Linked DNA regions of Xenopus tropicalis. The protein of the gene in region 2 interacts with the protein of the main gene of each other region in a biochemical or structural test. Links are inferred from orthologs where the notes say so. Each region holds a gene or a part of one and is shown on either strand. Other genes may lie near its edges.

Region 1 (3,702 bases), on a different chromosome or scaffold from region 2:
AAACCAGCTGCTCAATCAGCATTAGTTATATTAAAACAGTGTTGGAGATCTGGTAACTATTCAGAGCAACGATCCTTAAAGGAACAGTAACACCAAAAAATGAAAGTGTACAAAAATAACTAAAATATAATGTGCTGCTGCCCTGCACTGGTAAAAGTTGTGTGTTTACTTCAGAAAATCTACTATAATTTATATAGATAAGCTGCTGTGTAGTATGGGGGCAGCCATTCAAAGGAGAAAAGGCACATAGCAGATAACAGATAAAACACTATTGTATTCTACAGAACTTGTCTGTTATCTGCTATGTAACCTTATGGTTGAACGTGATGGACGCGTCTTTTTTCAACCCAACTTACTATGTTACTATGTAACCTGTGCCTTTTCTCCTTTTTTCCAGCTTGGATGGCTGTCCCCGGGGCTACACAGCAGCTTATTATATAAACTATAGTAGTGTTACTGTAGCAAACACACCAGTTTTACCAGTGCAGGGCAACATTGCATTATATTTTTATTACTTTAAAGCTCTTTTATTTTTTGGTGTTACTGTTCCTTTAAGGTTCCCTTTTCAGAAGAGAAAGAAAAGTATTGACATTGCATGCAGCTTTCCTCCATTCTGTGAGACAATAAGCAAAAGCAATATACAGGTTCATACTACATATTATGTAAGAGAAGGCGAGTCTATGGCAGGAATATCCCAAGTACCCGTGAGCTAAGGCTGCACCGCTCCCCTCCCAGGCTGCACTGGCTTCCTGTCCTGTGACTCGCACTCGTATGGTTGGTTGTCTCTGGGAGGAGGAGGAGGAGGAGGGAGAGGCCGCTAAGTTGAGAAAGTTTGTCTGAAAGACAATAGTATTGGTTGTGTGTCACTGCCATGAACCCTTAGTATTCCTAAAGAATAGAGAAGTCATACAGACACCTGCTTCGGGGAATTGTTTTGTCGCTGCCACATGCATTAAGGAACTTGCCGTTCAGTTACAGCTGCTGCGAGATTAAAGCTCTGGTTGATCGTGTCATTGCCATCAGTGCGTTTCCAAAATTCGTGTCGCGTCGCGCTGACAGAGTGTCGCTATGGCCGGAGAAGGGGCGGGCGGAGAGCCGAGCAGCCCCCGGGCGCCTGAGCGCAAGGAATATCTCTTCAAGGTGCTTGTGATTGGGGAGCTGGGAGTGGGCAAAACTAGCATCATCAAACGCTACGTCCATCAGCTTTTCTCCCAGCACTACAGGGCCACCATAGGGGTGGATTTTGCTCTCAAAGTCATAAACTGGGACAGCAGCACGCTGGTCAGACTGCAGCTGTGGGATATTGCAGGTAAGCACGCATTTCCTTAGGGAGAAGATTGTATAAAACCTTTCTCGGACAATGCTGCAACATTTGTAATACAGAAATCACTACATACACCCTAATGCATGAGAGGGGCACAATTGTTCTGGGCCCTTGAGAGGTAAGTTCATATATAGTACAGTTCTTTAAATCTTTAGAGGGGCAAATGCCAAAGATGTCCAAGCAGCATTTCTGTTACATAAATTGACTGGAAAGTGCTTATTTTGTTTCAAACGTGTTTAATTTACTGCCAATTGTAAACAGAAAAATATGTTTTGGCTACTAATGACTGTGGTATTTTGTCATGTTTTTTATCCAGTGAAAAGTTACTGAGATACCATGAATGGAAGATACCAACATAACACATATAATTGCTGTGTTTATAGTAGATGTATGGGTGTACGAGGTAAATACAGGAACACAGTGCTACAACTAGTTACATATACTACATTGGTGGTATTTTGGTTCAGTGACATAATAAGTGCCACAGTCTTTGGCAGGACCAGCACCAGTTAAAGTAGATGCATCTCCTCTGAGGAGCGCTGCTACAAATGCAAGTCTGGTTTCACAAAAAGAAATGCAACCCCATTGTGCCTGACCTACTTGAAACATTATCCTTGTTTTAGTTTGGTTACTACTTACACTGCTATTGACATACTTTCATATATATCCTTGTACTGTAGCATAGTTAAGGCCTATGCCACAGATCTAGCTTTGTTCCTTTGCTTTGTTCCTTTACTTTGTTCCGTGCAGCCATACAGGGCCGGAACTAGGGGTAGGCAGAAGAGGCAGCTGCCTAGGGCGCAACGATTGAGGGGCGCCAGGCAGAAGCCTCTCCTGCCTACCCCTAGTGCTGCTTTGTCATTGCCTCCGCCGCTAATGACAAGGCAATGACCAATCTAATCGCACCGCCCCCCCTGCGCCTCCTCCTGTGCTTTGGCGCGCATGCGCCGTTGGGGGTGGGCGGAGTTGGCCGACCGGGTTGCCTAGGGCGCCTGGTTGGCTTGGCCCGCCCCTGCGGCCATACATGTAGAAATTCTGATCTTTTCCATCAGTCAAAAAGGTGTGGATTTAGAAACAATATGAATTCTACCTCCACCTGTCGAAATATCGATTGTCTCATCGATCCACCATACACGCACCAAATACCATACAAAACGAGGTTTCGTACGATATCATTGGTGCGTGAATGGCCAGCTTAAGTGACTAAGGGTAAAGATACACAGAGCTACTAGAAGCAGCTTGTCACAGCTACAAAAATAGACAATACTGATCATTTACTGTGTGTTTTAGCAGAGGCAATTCTCAGTATTGTCTAAGGCAGGGTATTTTGTGGTATTTAGTAGCCGTGTCAAGTAGCTGCTAGTAAGTAGCTTTGTGTGTCTTAACCCTAAATGTTTTGACCATTTTACCCAAAATTATCATTGGAATAACTACACACTTTCACATCCAGCTGATTGTTGTTTTTAAAAATATTTATATACCAACTGCAGCTAGAAATCAGATCTAAATGCACAGATTTCTACATTAAAATTCACAGTCATTGACTCCAATTGAAGTCATATGTAAATCATGTACCTTTTCAGATTTTCCTGGCCCAGCATTCCGAGGCACTTTTTGCAGAAAACAATTTCATTGCATGGTATCATTTATTAAATGAATTAGTTGTGAGTGGCACCGAATCCAGGATTTTGGCCAATTTCTCAAACTGTTTTGTAGAATCCTAAGTGTTTAGCTGAACCAAATCCAAACTTAGTCATTTTACTTAGACAACTAAATGTTACAACTCTTTGTTTAAAATGTATGGAATTTCTGTTCCCCAAATGTGAATATGCAAATTAGGGTTTTGTTTATAGAATTTAAAAATAATGGATTAGTTGCATCCCTAACTAGGAAGGAATACAATGCAAATATCACATCTGTAAACTGCTGCCACAATACATTCCATGTGAAATTCTCAGGGGAGGACAAGCTGTGGAGATGGCTTTTTACACATATTTGCATTTCATGACTTCATTATTGATTGTGGTTATTCAAATAATTTATCTTTGTTTAGTTGTGTGTAACACTATGAGATTGCTTTCTGATTTGGCAGCCAATCTCAGTTTCTCCCATGCCCTGCTTAACTTTCTAGTAAGACACAATTTTGCCTATATAGTCAAACCAGTTAGTCCCTGGAAAAAAATGTATACACAGATATACACTGGTGTACAGTATATTCAAGATGTTAAATAGAAAGAGTACATGCAATAACTCCTTCTAGAAAACAGCAAACTCAATGGAGAGTTTTTATCCTTAAAGCAATACTGTCATGAGAAAACATGTTTATTTTTTTCAAATGCATCAGTTAATAAAGCTTCTTTGGCAGAATCCTCCATTGA
Region 2 (3,751 bases):
CCGACTGTTCTGCTGATTCCGCTGCTGGGGGGGGGGGGGGTATCACTCGAACTTGAAGTTTATCAGAGCACAGGTCACATGGCTGTGGCACCCTGGGAAATAAAGAATATGGCTAGCCCCATGTGAAATTTCAAAATTAAATATTAAAAAATCTGTTTACGCTTTTGAAAAATGGATTTAAATGCTGGAGAAGCTCTAGTTATTATCATATTGTACCAACAAGACATTTACTTCCTATACTTCTCTATCATGAATACATCTATGACGCAAATATGTCCATTCTGGTACCTGAGGTATTTTTACTCTGCCTCTAGCCCCAACAGCCTATATCTGCCACAGGACAATAGGAGTTTTTCAGTCAATAACATTTGAAGGTCTCTTACTCAAAAATAGCAGCATTAATTCAGTTGCGGTACAACCTGGCCTACACTGAGCTTTTACTGATTATTAGCACCATATTAAAACAAGAGAGCTGCTGCAACACTGAGCGCTCTTATCTTCACCTTTTTACACAGAGCTCATTGGCTCCCAGCGCTCCTAAGCCAAGGCCAGGCAGTAGATGACGCAGAGAGGGGCGGACCCAACGTCACCGGCCGCTGTCACTTATTGGCATGAGTGGGTGGGGCTAAGCAAGTGACATGTAAGTTCTTTTCCTGAGGGATGACAGCTCTGCTCAACTTTTCGACGCATTTACGACAGCTTCAAGAATGGACCGTGGTGACATAGAAGCTCAGGTAACGTTGCAGGTTGACAAAGCAGCCGCGTTCCCCATGTAATATACTGGCGGAAGAGGACGAGGGATTGACGTCAGAAAATAGTCCCTCCCTCTTAGCCAGTGCTCTGCCCTGTTTTTCCCGCCTCCTGTTGCGCGTTCGCGTATCCGGCCTACTCGCTGCTCTTAGGGATCAGTGCGCGCTGCGCTCTCGCCGGTTTCTGGCTGTGTGAGGTGATTCCCTGAGCCGCGGCAACTCCTCAGCGTCCGCTGGTTTGTTGGGGGGAGGGAGGGGGGACTGTGCGAGCGGAGGAACCATCAGGAATATAGAGAGGGGGGGACAGCACCCTCTGGCCTGCTTGGTGGCTCAGCTTATCCAGTGTAAGGTGTGAATAGCAGCGAAACGGGGCTACCTCCCCCCCCAACCCGGGGACGATGAGCATCGAGATCCCGCCCGGCCTGACGGACTTACTGCAGGGTTATACGGTGGAAGTGCTGCGCCAGAAGCCGCCGGACCTGGTGGAGTTTGCGATACAGTATTTCACCCGGCTGAAGGAGAAGCAGCTCCAGGATGGCGCAGGGGCCGGCTCTTTACGGCCTCACGCCCGGGTGGTCAACTTCGACGGGGAACCCATGCAGACCGAGTCTAACGGGGACGAAGAGGAGGACGAGGAAGATGACGATGACTCCGATTTCGAACGTAAGAGGCCGCATGTGCTGTGGGCAGGGCTGGAGTTTGAGAAGACGGGGGGCCCCCGGCAATGCAGGAAGGCTGGGGGCCCCCCCCCGGCAATGCAGGAAGGCTGGGGCCCCCCCCGGCAATGCAGGAAGGCTGGGGGGCCCCCGGGCAATGCAGGAAGGCTGGGGGGCCCCCGGGCAATGCAGGAAGGCTGGGGGGCCCCCGGGCAATGCAGGAAGGCTGGGGGGCCCCCGGGCAATGCAGGAAGGCTGGGGGGCCCCCATTTGAGAGGGCAGACAAAATCACATTCATCAAAGAGCTATCCTGCCCCCCAGCTTTTGTTAATGTGCAGCTCCCTGCCTTGCTCTGCTGGGGCCGATGTGCAGCTCAACACACGGGGGCTGCAGCTTGGATAGGGTTCATGTGCTCATTTAAAGTGCCCCCCCCCCCAATACTGACAGTATGAGAAGTTATTTACACTTGTAACTGTGGGACAAATGTCTTTATCCTTAATAATAATATGTAGTTCTTGACTCTTGCAACAATGTAGCTGAAGTTCTGCCCTAGATCACTTCATTTACCTGCTACTTCTACATTGTGTCAGGTGTCAGAACCAGCAGTGCAGAGAATGGAAACAGCCAGTTTATTTACCTGCTACTTCTACATTGTGTCAGAACCAGCAGTGCAGAGAATGGAAACAGCCAGGCAGATACAGTCAGAACTCATTTACAAATAAACTTCCATAACCAACGTTAATGTATATTGGAAAGGTGCTTAGAATGACATTTCTTCCTTGATGCAAGGAACCGGTTTTGAGTGGCTCTTTCGGTTTTTTCTTCCGCATATTCCTGCCCCAAAGGTGCCCCTGTGATGCTGTAAAGTCAGATGCACTACCTGCATTGACAGAGGGCTGAGGAATTGACATCTCCTCATGTGGAGCAGGGCTTCCAATGTCTTTATTTTAGTACTTTTTGTTTCTTGCCAGTGATTTTTAAAATTACCAATTACAGAGAAACTGTAAATGATTTAAGGCGCATAAGTCATTTTTTGGTGTCTGGTCTCGCTTCATAGCCTTTAGATCTTTAAAGGGGAACTCCGGCTTCTGAACCAAAATTTGTTAAAGAGCCCCACACAATAGTCATTCCTAATATACCTGTCACTGTAATCTGTTCTTTTGAAATACAGTTTTTATATGCTGAAGTCCAGCTGCAAAACAGTTCTTCTCTTTCTGCATCATTTAAAATCCTAGCAGTGGAGGAGGGACTAAAACATTGATGTTACAAATTGTAACAACTTCTCCACAGCTTACAGACAGCATGCAGGAACTACATAACCCACAATGCATTGCACCGTGAAGTTTCTTATTGACATCACGTGTGCAGGGAATTGTGTGATTGGGAGGATGCAGGCAATTACTGTTACATTTTATTTGAGTCTCAAAGTAGTCGGCCAGATCAGGCGGGGCTTAGGGAACTGTTCCAAACCATATTATTACATTAAAAATCATGAAATGGATGCATATTTTAAAATTTGTGTATTGCAAAGTTGCTTGAAATTAGCTTTACTTTTCAAAAAGCTCAAGTTGTACTTGGGTGGAGTTCCCCTTTAATAAACTTCCCTTTCAATGATGTCCTAAAGCCCTGTAAAATAAGGGGTGATTGTATATTACTTAGAAATGGTGGCAAGTACCAAGCTCCTGTGGGCAGGACACACTGTGCACATTTCTTGTCTTTTGTTGAGTTTAAAATAAATTTCAAGCTTGCTGGGCATGTACATGTTTGAGGTCTCCCTTTAGGGCAGAGGACACTACATCAGTATAAGTAATGTACCTACTAGGCAGGCTTATAGTTGCATTGTGGGATATCTGCTAGTGATGCCTGCTGCTCATTCTGCAATAGGCATAACATTTTCTCTTACAGAAACATCACTGCTGGTTATGCTTGCTGCTCATTTTCCAATAATTGCACCCACTTTATATGGAACAGTCTTCTCTAATGTTTGTGAGGTTTCCTTCATAATTGCTTGGTTTATCTCTCTCTGTAAATAATCGATTTACAGATTGTGCTCTCTGAAACCTTGTAGATAGCGTCCCACACAGAGATTAGTCACCTGCGATAGATCTCTGCTACCGCGGGCAACTAATCTCTCCAAAATGCCTTTCCTGTGGTAACAAAGGGGATCACCACTGGAAAGGCATCACTTCCGTCTTCCAAAGTGGCGCGAAGCTTCCTCCTGCAGGCAACTTTGTGGGACTTTGGAAAATGGAAGCAATGGGTAGGCCTTTCCACCAGCTATTCCTTTTTTGCCGGTGTATTTGCAGGTATTTTGGAGAGATCAGTCGCCCACAGTAGCAGAGATCT

The links.
Region 1: the proteins of prkar2a (region 2) and rab32 interact in a test that uses a peptide from one of them, tested with the Homo sapiens proteins (2 studies listed by BioGRID, with this or other methods). The link is inferred for Xenopus tropicalis from reciprocal best matches to the Homo sapiens genes PRKAR2A and RAB32.

The regions. Positions count from the first base shown.
Region 1 is NC_030681.2:49,376,157-49,379,858, reverse strand, and holds the start of rab32 (ras-related protein Rab-32), read left to right. Parts: upstream 1-888; 5' UTR 889-1,068; coding exon 1,069-1,309; intron 1,310-3,702. UniProt on the Homo sapiens protein: The small GTPases Rab are key regulators of intracellular membrane trafficking, from the formation of transport vesicles to their fusion with membranes.
Region 2 is NC_030680.2:136,484,613-136,488,363, reverse strand, and holds the start of prkar2a (cAMP-dependent protein kinase type II-alpha regulatory subunit), read left to right. Parts: upstream 1-850; 5' UTR 851-1,147; coding exon 1,148-1,412; intron 1,413-3,751. UniProt on the Homo sapiens protein: Regulatory subunit of the cAMP-dependent protein kinases involved in cAMP signaling in cells. Type II regulatory chains mediate membrane association by binding to anchoring proteins, including the MAP2 kinase.